Astyanax mexicanus: one gene and its partner. The protein of the gene in region 1 interacts with the protein of each later gene in a pairwise test. Links are inferred from orthologs where the notes say so. Each region holds a gene or a part of one and is shown in the gene's direction. Other genes may lie near its edges.

Evidence for each region.
Region 2: the proteins of dab1a (region 1) and CLK4-associating serine/arginine rich protein interact in a two-hybrid assay, tested with the Homo sapiens proteins (2 studies listed by BioGRID and IntAct). The link is inferred for Astyanax mexicanus from reciprocal best matches to the Homo sapiens genes DAB1 and CLASRP.

What each region holds. Positions count from the first base shown.
Region 1 is NC_064408.1:62,180,490-62,188,222, reverse strand, and holds the start of dab1a (DAB adaptor protein 1a), read left to right. Parts: upstream 1-4,718; 5' UTR 4,719-4,810; intron 4,811-5,325; 5' UTR 5,326-5,429; intron 5,430-5,599; 5' UTR 5,600-5,893; intron 5,894-7,733. UniProt on the Homo sapiens protein: Signaling adapter of the reelin-mediated signaling pathway, which regulates the migration and differentiation of postmitotic neurons during brain development.
Region 2 is NC_064416.1:2,806,771-2,814,729, forward strand, and holds the start of CLK4-associating serine/arginine rich protein, read left to right. Parts: upstream 1-4,952; 5' UTR 4,953-5,101; intron 5,102-6,982; 5' UTR 6,983-7,023; coding exon 7,024-7,122; intron 7,123-7,959. UniProt on the Homo sapiens protein: Probably functions as an alternative splicing regulator. May regulate the mRNA splicing of genes such as CLK1. May act by regulating members of the CLK kinase family.

The sequences.
Region 1 (7,733 bases):
ACACACACCGTGACACCACATCGCAAAGCTTAGCCACAGTCGCATTGTATAAATATCACAATACATGAAATATACACTGTGCCTCACATACACACCACCCATAGCCATGAGCACAAGGACAAGCAAACATCACCACAGCAGAAACAAATCACACACACGCACATGTAATTCATCTCCCTCTCTCTCTCTCACACACACAGCAGGAAGCCTTTTCAATTACCCCTGCGCCGTTCCGTCGCCTGGCTGCAGGCTAACCTGCGGTAATTAATGAGCTTTTATTCACCACAATCTGATCTCAGATCAGCATTGGACACATTTGATAAGTGGAATGGAATCTGTGAAAGCTCGTTCTGACTGGAAATGTAATTACCTCTGTGCTCATGCAGACGCGAGCAGTCAGGACACACTAGGCCCAGCGCAAACCCAGGTTAAACGTGTTCATCATCACACGCAAATGAAGCCGCCAGACTCACGCCCAGCAGAGAGATTTGTTTTGGCAGGTTCCGCCTGCTTAGTTCCTCCTTTATTTGGTTTTGGCTAAGAGTCGCTTAAACTAAATCATTTAGGTTAATGTTCCAGCCCAATGACTCTAATGAACTTCTACATGGAAACGAGAGGCTTATGAAAACTCTTGCTGGGTTAGAGACAGTTATTCATGTATAAATTCGTTCAAGTGTGTTTTGATCATCTCAGAATGATCAGTTACTCTCTCTTCATTCTGACAGACAGTGCAGTTCACATGCTAGTTTCCATATCTGAAATGTTCAATTTGCTTCAGTCTACATCTTCCTACAGAATCTTATTGTCAAATCTGAAAATGTATTTGTTTTATTATCAAATTATACAGTTTGACTAGAAATGTAAAAATATGTAGTGAAGGCATTGGTTCTACATTTGTCACAAAATGATATTACTTAAAAAGAAATTTGTCTTTTATGATGTATATAGAGTAAACGTTCACAATTCTTTGTGTTAATAACTTCCCAAAGACCATGAGAAACAGTTAAGATGCTTATTACTTTGAACAGGTGTACTGATGAAAAAAACCCATACACTATTTCTAGTGACCAAATGTACAGATTTAATAAAAGTGCACTAGAAATATGCTAAAATATTCTCCTAAAATACTATGATTTAGAATAAGCCTACAAAGGTAAAAGTAGGGCAAATTATCCATTAAAATAATTTTGACACTGTCCATGGAAAACCAAGTATCTCTAAGTTATTTATTTATTTATTTATTTTTAGTCAAGTACATAATTTGACCTGAAAAACTGTAAGTGTTACACTTTCACACTTTCTTTCTTGATGAATTGACCAATAGAAATTCTTCAAAATTACCTGAAATACATATACATACACTTTTTTACACTGACTTCCATTAAAAGCAACAATTTATTTTATTCTCGGTTGGTTAGTAAACACATATTTCTATTTAAGCTTCAGATTTTGGTTTAATAAATAAGTACTGTGGAACACAGTGTGCTATTGTACACTGTAGAGCACACTCAGTGTGCTCTACACAAAAAATATACTAAACTGTCAGTGGAATGGTACCTTGCTTGTCACTGTGGTGGTACATCTGATGTTTTTTTTTTGCTCCATTTAGTGTTGACTCCAGACTTTTATGTACAATATTAAAAGGTATAGAATGATACATTAATAATGATGCCTGTTTGCATTATGCAGATCATATTTAATGGAAAGAGCCCTATTTTATATGTATCTTAGCAGTCTATAGTTTATAAAGCACTTGAAACGTAAAACTAAACATTGTTCTGATGTTGTCTGTCCATACAGTTTTTTTTTATTAATTAATAACATATTTGGAAAAGAATAGTTTATAGTGAAATCTTATTTTATTAAAACATTTAAACCTCTCTTTTGTTGCCTGCATGCCGTCCTTCAATTGCCACTGTCCTATTTTACTACAATTCCCATAATCCTTAATGTCTGAAGAACTTTGTCACATGTCTCCACTCTACCAATCAGGAACTGTCCAACACTCAGCCTGTTCTGGGACTCATTAATAATTATTTGTCTCATCTGCGTCTTATTGCTCTGTGTATTTAAATCAGTCGGTTTGTCATTCACGTGGTAAGGTAAAGCGTTTCTCTCTTTGTCTGTTTGTTCGAGGTTACTTTTCTGTTTCTGGCTCTTTTGGTTTTGTGTTCTCTTTTGTTGAGTCTCTGCTTAGTTTGTGTTCATGATTCTGCCCTTCTCTGGTTTTAGACACCAACAAAGTTACTTTTTTCACCCATTTAGTGCCATAACTAATGTTTTATCCTCAATATCCTCAAAATGCCACATAGTACAGCTAAAACAATAAATCAATTTAACACATTTATTGATTTACTTAATGGCAAAGTAAAATATTTGCCCACAAATAAATGCTGTGGTTGTATCCTCAGATTTTAATACTAAATAATGGGATTTGACATTAATGCAAGTCACATGGTTTTCGTTTGAACTTTTTGCAGGTTTATATAGAGTTGACCATAACATGGGACACACATGGAATACAATTAATTTTTAATTATTAAAATAGTCTGATATGTTTTGTGTAGTTGACATTATAAATGTCAATAAAATAAATAATATAAAAAAAAAAATATATAGACCATGCAGTGTGATTTTTAGTGGTGGGAATCCTGTGTTAAACAGCTCAGTACTTCAGAGAGGATATTTTTTTAAAACTGAGACTGAAACATGCCTGTTCTCTACAACTAGTGTTGATTTGTGTTGTCAGACTGTTCTACTGCAGCATGTGTAGAGGTAACTTACAGCTGCTGAAAACATAGAATATTCTTATCACAGTATTAAAATAATAGGGAGGACATTTTAAAAGAATCAGCTGTATGTACTTTAATAGAAACTGAGAAAAATGCAAAACAACATTTTAAAAGCTCAGTTATTATGCTATAGCGAAGTTCTGTTCACATAGTTAGCATTGTTTAGCAATATGACTTAATAACATCACATTATGCTGTATTTTGTATTGTAAACAGCACGTAAACATGTCCATTGAAGTTAGGCAGTAACTTACTATGTGTAGGAATGATTTAATGAGACACTAATAGAAGTGCTTTTACTGCTATTGATTTTCAGATGGTGGACATTATGTGAATTAGCCATTAACTAGCTTAGCTAGTTTAGCTAACCTAGCTAACATTCATAAGTCAGATCTTAGAAATGGTAACTTAATGTAACCACCAGAGAGAAAATGAAGTGAAAACAATTCAGAGATTCAGTAAAAAAGGGGGAAAGAAAAGGTAAGGTAGCAGGTGCCATAATAACTATATCCAACCTACTTAGCTAGAGCCAGCTGTTTTATTTTGTAGTGAGTTTAATAACTACAAACTATATTTCTTGCAGTTTACTTGCTAAGTTGGAGTTTTAGTTTAGCTCTAGCTAGTAAACTAGTTAGCTAGGTTAGCTTCATACCACAGAGAGTTTAACAGCAACTGCTGTGAAAGTGTTAATTTGCTCAAAACAGTAAAACATTTAACAATAGATTAGCTATCACTGTGTGTATTGTTGTTCATGTGCTTGTTTGTTTCTTTTTGCTTGTGTGTTTGCGTGCTTGTTTTTTTTGTTTGTGTGCTCCTGTTTGTATGTTTGTTTGTTTCTGTGTGTGTGTGTGCCTGTGTTTGTGCGTGCTTGTTTGTGCATTTGTTTCTGTGTGCTTGTGTGTTAGCTAACTTGCCAGTTAATCAGGTTGTTTGCTCTAGCTACTTTTGGTTAAGAGCTTTTGAGCCATGTGATGTCTGGCATGGTGGCTGAGCTGTCCTGTGCTTATAGTATCGAAATACACCTTGTACTGAATAGCAAAATGTTGCTGTTTGAACTGGCTTACAGTGGATATGTACTAAATAGACAAATTACAAACTTTTATTTTACTGAATTTGTAGTATATTCTTGAAATTAGTAAAACAACAACAACAAAAAAAAAAAAAAACAAAGCTTTGCCACATCGTCATTAATATTTTTAACGCAAAAAAGCTTATTGCTCACCCCTAACCATAATGATTTAGCATTGTATTATTCTGCTTACTGCTGATGATGTAAAAATTGTTTAGCTTCAATGGCTACTAAAAGGCAAGGTCATGAATGGCACAGACAGAAGGCAGAACGTGCAAACTCCACAGAAAGACCCGGGTCACCCCAGCCAGGAAACGAATCTAGGCCGCCTTTAAATTTGCTTTAAAATAACCTAAACATAGCCGTGCATGGTTATTTCGAGAAAGTCTAATGGAAAGCATTTTCAGTAATACTCATTTATTCAAACACAAGTTGACCTTGTGGCTTGTCTCTCAGTATTAGTCTCTGAACAACCTGTTTGTTGGCTGGCTTTAACAATCACTTCTACAAAAATGAGTGGTGTACAGGCTGTACAAAGCTGACTACTGATTTGTACATTATCAATAGACAGAGTAATCATTGACTATGTTTTGCACATACAGTTATTTTATTTGCACAGATTTAACTCTAAATAGATTTTTTTCTTTGTAAAACGCAGTGCAATGTGTAAACAGTAAACACATTTGGTCATAGCTCCATGAAAAGAATAATAATGGTTACAATAAAACTTAATAGCTAATTCAGTTTCAGTTTATTTTTAAGGGGAAAAATCTTGTTCTTTCTATACTTTCTGTGTTTTTGCATGAAACAACTTTGCTCTGTGATTAGATCAACATTTGATCTTTTTTATTTCTGCAGGGTTCCATGGTCCAGAGTGGTCTGCTGGAGGTGCTTAAGAAAATCAAGGACAGTAACAATCATCAATTTTATTTATTGTAACATACAGCATGTGAGCATAATTTGTATTTGTCAATACGCAAACATATTTTAATTAGGTCAGCAACTAATGATTATTTTTGTAGTTGACTAATTTGAAGATTATTTTTTCAATTAGTCCATTAGTCATCGATTATTTTTGACATGTTCTCTATCGCTAAAAATGATAGAAACAGCAGAACATAAAATTTGAAAGACATTTAAATGTCTAGATGTTGTTTAAACATGAAAAGTACTGATCTTTAGTGTGAAATGTGTATTCTGTTGTGTTTGGGCACTTTTGGAGACAAACTAAGTTTAGTATAAACTGTGAGAGTGAGCCATTTACGCATCTTTCATTGCGTTTCTGCTCCCAGCACTTTGTGTATTGCAGTTCTGTTACAAATGAAATTAAATTAAATAATGGACTCTTCTTCACCGCCCTAATTTTCACACAAAAAACGTTTTGTCAAATGATATACTAATCAGAAAAACATGGTGAGAAATCGTATACAGAGTGTTTCCTTTCCTCTCCTCATGATTTTATAGGACCAAGACACATCTCACCCCTCGGCGTCATCTTGGGACTTTCGAGTGCTCCTGCTTAAACATCGTGGACGGTGATGGATGGAGAGAAAACACAGGCATAGGAGGTATGTGAAAGTGAAGAATAGAAGAGCGGGGTGCAGCTATTCTAAGGAATAAGGTAGTGATGAGTAGGGATAGTGGCGATAGGGCCTGGTGTGTGTGTGCTGAGACGATGTGTGTATGTAGAGAGATTGGATGTGTGTGTTTGAGCCTGACTCTGCTGTTGCCTCTGTAGTCCTGTAGTCACCCTCGTAGAGCTGTTGAGTCAGCCAGGCTGCTGCTGCTGCTGCTGCTGTTCTTGCTGCTGCTGCTGCTGGAGAGAGGATTCCTATCTGCTGCTGGGATATCCACACCCACGGAGCCACACGCTCTGTTTGACAGTCCGGAGGGTCCTCCTGAACTAAAGAACGCTTCGTTTTTTCAGAAGAGGAGATCCGGGAACAAGAGGACAGGTGTGTTAAAAGAGGAGGACTCTGCGACAGGAAGAGTATATCCAGCAGCGGAGCCTGAATAGATAGAAGGAGCAGAGGTAGGGGCTTTTTACTTCTTTTAGAGGTGTCTTTGGTGTGTTGTAATGACATGGTGTGAAGTAAGTGTGTGTGTGTGTGTGTGTGTGTGTGTGTGTATGGGTAAAATTCTACTTTGGTAGAAAGTGAACTGGAGGCTGAGATGTGCCCTGCTGGGAAGATAATCAAGCCCTAATATAGACATAAATGTGTGCATATTCTAAATTGCAGCAATGTTGTCTCAACAGTTGTTAGTAGTGTTGTAAAGCTGCTATGCTGCAGTGTGTTTTTATTATTTTGTGATACATATAGGGGTGTATATGTCAAGGACTGTGTATGAGGTGTATACATTGGTTATTTCTATATCAGCACTGTATAAACTCTGCATAATGAAAGCAGCTGCTGTTTACAATGCATATACATTTTATAATGAATGGTTAAATAGAAATGAAGTCCTGATTAATTTAACATCAGTTCATAGGTAGGAACATTTATTGCTTATATTCAAGGTCTCTTTGGTGACCCCAGCAGCATAGAAGTGTGCAAAAGATTTTTTTGGGCAGTTTTAAACAGTTAAGGAATAGTCTACTTTTGCTCTTGAGACCAACCCTGTTTGATATAAACTGGGGTGTGTGTATGTGTGTGTGTGTGTGTGTGTTTTCCAGCCATGTGTCCTGTATCTTGTCTGTGCCTCTTACTGGAAGCTATAGCTTGTGCTGCTCAGTGATTTGACACTGACCATCAGTCACTCTGACAGCATATCCATCACTTAATGCTGCAGGACATAAAGTTTTACTTTTAGATGCACATGTGTGTATGTGAGAGCATGGGTAGGTTCATTTATGTGTTTCTGGGTGATGTAACCCTGGTTCTGTATAGAAAACAGATGGTATAGAACCGTTTAAAAGAGCCAGTTTAGGGTTATAGCCTATAAGGTTAATATTGGAGTACTGTGAAAGATGATTCCTACCTCTTCTTCTGTGGTTATGGGTCTGTGTCATCATCCAAGCCCATATTACTGCCACCATGGCTAAAGGAATGACTGTAATATGAAATTCATATTGATATTTAATTGCTTATCTTACTGTATTAATTGCTTAAATCTATTCTAGTTGTTACTGCACGCAGGCACGCACGCACATACACTGATCAGCAATAACAGTAGCACCAGGTGCCTACTATTGAGTAGGTCTGTTTAAGGTTTAGAATGCACAAGACCTCTAAAGATGTTCTATGGTATATGTTCCCAAAATGTTAGCAGCAGATAATTCCTTTAAAACATCAGTGTGCTATGATCCTCTCTTTGATTCTCTTGTTGTCTTTCTTGGAGCACATCTGGTAAGTACTGACTGCTGCATACCCCCAAAAATAAACCCTCAAGAGAATTTTAGATATGTTCTTATTTAGTAATTTAGCCATTGCATTGATTTACCTTTGTTAAAGTGGCCAGATCCTTATGCATACTCCCTAATATAGCCCATCACTTAACAGATGCCACTAGAGATATATGATTGTGGGAAAAAAAAGGCTGACCTTGCAATATTTTTTTTTCTTGTAAAATGTATTGCGATATTAAACAGTACAGGAATTTTACCGGAAGTCAAAGAAGTCAGTGATATTTTTAATTAATTCCATGTATGCAGGATTTAAATAAAATAAATGATATTGGGCAAATATAACAACAATTAAATTAATTAATTTAAATATAATGTGGGCATTGACAATGATGAAACCCTATATTGTGCAGGTCCAGAAGCCATGGTGAGATTAAGGATAATTTTCACTTCCTCTGTCAGTGGTGCTGATATTCTGATTGGTTTGCATGTACACCATATAGGAGCATTTTGTAGCTCTATAAGTACA
Region 2 (7,959 bases), on another chromosome or scaffold:
ACACAACTGATGCTCTTAAATTTACATTAAGAGGCAAGAAATTCAAGTAATTAACTCTTGATGAGTTCAGCACAGCTGTTAACTGAAAGCCTGAATTCCAGGTGACTCTACCCTTATAAAGCTGACTGAGAAAATCCAGCAGAGATGTTCAAAACTGTGCCTATTTCAAGAATGTAAATTTCTGGTTTGTTTAACATATCTTTTTATGTTTCTCTTCGTAGTTTGGATGATTTTAGTGTTAATCTACAATACAGAACATTTTAAAATGATGAAAAAACACATTTTATTAAGGTGTGTCCAAACTTTTCACTGGTACTGTATATTTAATAATATAAATAAAATATAAAATAAATAATATATAAAATAAAATATGCTTTATTAACTGATGGATATAACAATACACAATAGGGAATTGTGTTGTTAATATTGTTAAATCTGTGAATACAGTGTTTACAGCATATTTGTGAGCTGCTCTGTTATGAATGACCAGCAGGTGGAAGTATTGCAGTATTGTATACTCTCTCACAGCAGGTAAATGGATCAAGAGGACTGAATGTTTAATCTGTTTACTGGCTGATTTTTGGGAATTTATCAGAATTGTATAATTGTGTACATAAACAGTTTAAACAGGTGTCTTAGAGAACAACAATCAGCATCGATTGCTTTAATATTTTTATTGTGCTTAAATTGTGCTTAGAGATATTTCTCTATTAATGTGCAAATGTCAATAAAGAGGTTTGATTTTTATGTTTTCTACATTTTTATTGTGTATTATTTGGGCCAATATGAGTATAAATTGTGCTTTGAGTTTAAATTTAATACTCAATAAAAATCAAGATTTACTCTGAATAACCACTTCATTACAGATATGAAGAAATAACTTTAATCTTCACCTTAAATACTTAAATATACATATTTTCTATTGTACATTTTATAATACATATATTTTTTTATATGGGTGTTTGTTCGGGTTTGCCATGTCCGCAGTACTGCTTTAAATAAATAAAGTTAAATAATTACTTTAAATGGTTAAATAAGTGCAGTCCTAGCTGAAAGTGTTGGGACCACTGAATTTTGAAATTATCATCAAAAAAGGGACATCAAAAGCTTTATAATACTTTGCTGTACTTTCAAAGGGACTGAAGACTATCAATAATATTAATTTACAGTAACTTAATATTTCTTATATTGTCTCCATAATTAAAGCTTAAATAAAAGAAGTAAAGTTTAATCTATCCAAACTGGTGCAGTAAAATATTACAGTAATTAAGATAATTTTCTTTTTTTTTTATATCAAAAATGTATATTTTAAACAGAAGAACAGTCACTGACCAACCAACTCAACCACGTTTTTATTTAAATACCAGTTGTTGCTAAAATCATGATAAAGATAAAGATTAAAAAGTGAATAAAAATAAAAAGTGATTTTAAGCTGGAAATTATTAATTACATGTAGTTTTTTTTTTGTAGTCTTTAAAATACATCAGTTTCTCTGATTTTGTTATTTATAGGTTTATGTTTGAGTAAAATGAACATTGTTGTTTTATTCTATAAACTACAGACAACATTTCTCCCAAATTCCAAATAAAAATATTCTCATTTAGAGCATTTATTTACAGAAAATGATAAATGTCTGAAATAACAAAAAAGATGCAGAGCTTTCAGATCTCAAATAATGCAAAGAAAACAAGTTCATATTCATAAAGTTTTAAGAGTTCAGAAATCAATATTTGGTGGAATAACCTAAAGCATCTTGGCATCATGTTCTCCTCCACCAGTCTTACACACTGCTTTTAGATAACTTTATGCTGCTTTACTCCTGGTGCAAAAATTCAAGCAGTTCAGTTTGGTGGTTTGATGGTTTGTGATCATCCATCTTCCTCTTGATTCTATTCCAGAGGTTTTTAATTTGTTAAAATCAAAGAAACTCATCATTTTTAAGTGCTTTCTTATTTTTTCCAGAGCTGTAAGATGAATAGTAAAAATAAATTAGACAATTGTGTTTTTTGTATGTTAAAAGGGCTTTGTTCTGATGCATTGTTCTGATGGTTCTGTTTGATGTTTGTGGTTTGGGTGTTTAAGCCTGGCCACAGTGCTGCAGGCCCGGCGGGGCCTTTAACTCCCAGAGCATCGGTTATAAAAGGGCTGAAAATGAGGCGACTGTGGTCTAGGAAGTCCCCCCTGAGTGACCACACTGGCGCAGAGGAACGGTCCAGCAGGGCGTCACATGACATGACTTCTGCCCCACCCAACAACCTTACCTAACTGAAAAACAGCCCCGGGGCAGATCTGTGTACCGAGCTCAGCCCTGTACTGAACTGAACCAGTGCCAGGCCTCCAGAGAACATACCTTCAGATCAGCACTAAAATAATACAGCAGATTAAATTAGACTGACAGGTCAGGAGAACAGAATGTGCTGCACTGAAAGGACCGATCGAGTCATTTGATTCTGATCATTCTGATTATTTGGATTCCAGGTACCACATTACCCTTATAAACTCCTAGAACCTGGCGTCCACATGTGTGAACATCACATTTTGGGTTGTTTAGACCACAACATTTAATGTTGCTCTACAAAGGCCTGGTGTCCACTTATGAGGCCATTATACTGCCACCTAGTGATTGTGATGGTGATTGTTGTATGTCTTTGTGTTAAATTAGCATTCAAATGAGCCATATTGCTCAAATCTATCTATCTATCTATCTATCTATCTATCTATCTATCTATCTATCTATCTATCTATCTATCTATCTATCTATCTATCTTATTTCAAAAAGTGGGCTTGATATAAGTGATGCAAAGTGATACAAGTGATCTGTAATACACCACATTAGGCACTAATGGTCAAATTTAAATAATTTAATTAAGATATATATGTAATGCCATCTAGTGGCTTTTTTGGTAGCAGCAGTGTGCACTATTAAAACAGCAATGTGCAACATAAAATAAATAATAAAAAAATACAGGAACAGTCATGTATAAAATAATAGAATAATTAGAGCCTTAACGAACTGAACTCTATCCTACTATAACAGTTAAACATGAAAAATAAGACTCAATCCCTGAGAATGAAGTTTTTTCTTTATTAAAGATATATTATTAACTTTATCTGAGAGAAAGATGCTCCTTAAGGTACCAAAACTATTAACATATTTGAGGCTAGACAAAACAACTGTTATTTTTATATTTGAAAGTTTTTCTTTAAGAAGATGAGAACGTCCACATTCTCTTAAGCAGTCACAAAATCCACGGCGTCGGCTACAGTGTGCTGCACGATTTGCGTAGCTTAGAGGGAGGGATCGTCGATCCTCTTTTTGACTTCGAGGCTCGAGACCATGACATAATTCCGATCGATTTTGATGAAATATCGGAATCGTGACACCCCTAGTGTTCAGACACAAAATAAGTGTTTTGCACATCATTACTAATTGCGACTTCATTGTGTTCTGGCGAAATTTAAAACTACAGTCCACATATGTGGACATAATTTTTCTCAGAAACTACATAATGTAAAAAGATAATACATGATAAAGAAAAGTTTTTTACACTAATCAGGTGCCAATTAGCCCAAATAGCAAAAAAAAAAAAAAATCAACTTAAAGACCAACACCACAATCAAAAATACAATATACTAGTGCATCTCAAAAACTGAGAATATAATTGAAAAGTTACTTTATTTCAGTAATCCAGTTCGAAATGTAAAACTCATATATTATATAGATGTATTAAACACAGAGTGATCTATTTTAGGCGTTTATTTATTTTACTGTTGATTAAATATTATGTTTTACAGCCAATGAAAACCCAAAAATCATTGTCTCAGAAAATTAGAATATTATATTATTATAAGACCAATTGGTACTTTTGGCAGTGTGGGCAGTGTGCCAAGTCCTGTGAAAAAAGCATTAAAAGTATGTTCACAAAACATTAGGTAAAGAATACTAAGTGCATTTTCTGTGTTAATATACTTACACTATATTTCTGTAAAAGCAATATGCTTTAAAACATATGTTGTGTTGATAGAAAATATATACTGCATAATAGCATTAAATAGGCTACTGCTTAAAGTGCACTTTAGTGTAGTTTAAGTTCTTTTTTTCAGTAGCATTAAGGTGTACACCATATGTGCATCAATATGCAAAGTAGTACATTTACAATATATTGTACTTTAAGTGTATTAAACATGATCTTTAAAAAACACACTTAAATGTGCTTAAGTTCGCAGAAGTTATACGAGAAAAAAAAAACACACTCAAAAGCACAATTTAATGCTTTTACGTTGTGTTTAAATAAAGCTTATTTACAATTGAAATATACTTAAGTTGCCGTAAGTAATATTTGGAACATATTAACATATTAAGCTCAAAACAAAAGAACAAAGCTCTGGACAAAAATAAGAGACGATTTATCAATTATCAAGAGGAAGATGGATGATCACAAGCCATCAAATCACCAAACTGAACTGCTTGATTTTTTGCACCAGGAGTAAAGCAGCATAAAGTTATCCAAAAGCAGTGTGTAAGACTGGTGGAGGAGAACATGATGCTGAGATGTATGAAAAAACTGTGATTAAAAACAAACCAGGATTATTCCGCCAAATATTGATTATTTCTGAACTCTTAAAACTTGAATATGAATATGAACTTTTTTTTTTCTTTGTATTATTTGAGGTCTGAAAGCTCTGCATCTTTTTTTTTTTTGTTGTTGTTATTTCAGACATTTCTCATTTTCTACAAATAAATGCTCTAAATAACTAAAATATTTTTATTTGGAATTTGGGAGAAATGTTGTCTGTAGTTTATAGAATAAAACAACAATGTTCATTTTACTCAGACATAAACCTATAAATAGCAAAATCAGAGAAACTGATTCAGAAAAAAATATTCAGAAAATTGTGAGCTCCGGTCCTGCAGGGGTCGCTGGTTAGTTCTGGATGTATCACTCCGCGCTGTGGACAGGGGGGTGTGTAGTTAGCTTAGCTTAGCTTAGCATAGTTTAGCTTAACTCGGCGACCTGTGCTCCTCTGCCTGCGCGCTCCGGCGGAATAAAGCAGCGATATTAATAAAACACGCTTCCATCTGTTGGGAACTAAAAAGCAGGTAAATATTAACAGTTTATATATATCAGTCCTACGGGGTGTGAGCGCTGCGGCTGGGGGGAAACTCTGCGTTTTAGCGGGTTAGGTGCAGAGCTAGGTAGCTTAGCATAGCTCGTTAGCATTAGCTACTGGAGCGCTAACGGGCGCTAATGCTAACTAGGCTAACTAACTCAGTTAGTTAACATAGGTTAGCTAACTAGCTTAACTAGTTAACTGTCTGTTTCTTAATATTTATATTTAATAAATATTTAATTGTATTAGTATAAATATGATAGTATTTAATATTTAGCTTGCTTAGCTTAGCTAGAGAACTGTTGGTAATCTCTGTAAGTTTAGCTAGCTAATTCCCCTGCAGCTTTAGCTCATGCATAGTAAACCATGCATTTAGCTAGATAACTAACGTTAAGTTTATTTAATATTAATTATCATTTAATATGACTCAAATGTAAGTATTAAATTCTATTTATTTGCTATTAATTTGTATATAGGCTGGTTGGTTATACTTACAGTAACAGTTTATCTTTGCAATCCAGTGGTAAAGCTGGAGTTAATGTTTAACTGGATTAGTTCAACTAGATCTGTGGAAGATATTAGCTAACTAGTCAATGTGAACTATCTAGGTTTGGAGTCATTATAATGATGATTATGATGATACGGCATCGAAAATATACATATATTTATAATTACATAAATATATTGCTAGAGTACCAGTCAAAATTGTGGACACACCTCTTCTCATTCAATGTGCTTTATTTCTTATTATAATTTTTAAGCATCGCAAATTTAATATTGAATACTATATTAAAGCTATACAGGGACACATGCTAAATTATTTTGTAAACAAAAAGTGTTAAACTAACTAGAATATGTTTTATACGTTATACATTTATAACTTGCAGAGAGACTAGGCACCTTGATATAACTTTCTAACTTCTAACTAAGTTTCGGCCAATTGTAGTTGTGCGGCCAGTGTCACTTTTTGACAATAATTGACAATAATTGACAATATTGACAATATTAGCCAATGCCAATGTTTTAAAAGAAAAAAAAATCCTCATCCAATACGATATGCTGGTGTATGGTATTATATGACATTACCCTTGATATAGTGGCTCTTGATACTTCACAAAGACTTGCTGTCTTGGTCATATATATATATATATATATATATATATATATATAGATATATATATAGATAGATAGATAGATAGATAGATAGATAGATAGATAGATAGATACTTTATTGATCCCCGAGGGGAAATTCTAGACATCCAGCAGCAGACACAAAGTTACAAATTGAATACACAAAGTTACAAAATAAAATATATAAAATATAAAGATACATATAAATACAATCAAATAAAAAAGTAGAATGTACAATGTAAAAGCACAGTCTTTAGTGTGAGTGTAATGTAGAATGGAGGTAGTGCAGCCAGTTGATGTGCATAAAGTGAGTATAACTGATGTCAGCCATACAGAAAGTGCAAATGAACAGTTATAATGATTTAAATTCAGCAGTGCAAAAGATACGTAAACAGTAGATGGATGAACTAGTGAATGAACTACTAGTGCAGAATAGGGTAGAACTATAAACATAGTGTTATAGCTGAGGGTGTGTCTTTAGTTTGAAAAGTCTTATGGCCTGAGGGACAAAAGACATATATATATGTATATGTATATACATAAACTGTAATAAAAATGTTAAATGTTTGACCATGCCCCCAGCATTGGATTTTGTGTTTGGAACTCTTGTATTGTTTTGTATTGTTTGTTTTTTACATCTAGAAAAATAAATTTCAGCAAGTGTGTCATTGCCACTTTTCTATTAGAATCAGCTCACACAGATGTGTGTTTGATTGAATCTCTTTCTGTACCAAACCAGCAGCCGTGCCACGACGCGCCCCCACCCCCAGCGGAGCTGTCATGTGGCAGGAGGCCCGCAAACATGAGCGCAAGTTGCGCGGGATGATGGTGGACTACAAACGCCGTGGGGAACGACGGCGGGAGTACTATGAGAAAATCGTGAGTAGAACTCACTGTAATATTAATGAATAAATTCCATTTCTAATCCATGTGTAATTAATATACCTTAAAGAGTATGCTAAAGAAATAGTGAGGAGTAGTGTGGGAGGGGCACTGGGTGATGTATGGGTTTAGGGGAAGGGCAGGAGGGAGAGCTGATTTGGCTGAGCATTGTGCCTCTGATAGCGGTGAGACGGAGCTGTCATTTTAAGACAGTTTATGTAGATCTAAAATATAATGGCATAACAGTAATTTGCATCATCAATGCAAGATCTTGGTAAAAAAAAATGAGTGCAACTCTGATTGAAATAAATCTTGTGATATTGCAACATTGCAGAAGCTTATTGAAACAATGCTACAGTGAATGCATGCACTAATCAAAGCTAAAGGCTTTTTCTTTTGGTGGCGACTTTAGCTTGGCAGTGTGATGATTGATTGATTAAGTGATTGAATTTATTTAATGATTCAGAAAGTACATACACAGACAAGACATTACGCACTTCAAATCATTGAGGATTAAAACACAGTAAAGCACTAAGGCTTGTTTCCATTGTGGTCCTCTACAAAAAACACCCATAATTAAACATCTTTACTGCCCACAAACACAAAACACCTACATAAAACATACTCAAAGATGACAGACAGCGAGGTGGCTTCTCTTATGATATTCCTTATGTATTTAGTACTCTCAATGTCTAGGGTCTATAAACAGTTTTAATATAACCATCTCATTAAAACCTGTTTAAAAACCTGTTTAAAAACCTGTTCCGATGGGCTACATTTAATTTCCATAGGTAGTCCGCTCCAAAGCAAAGCTGCAAAACAACGTAATGTATT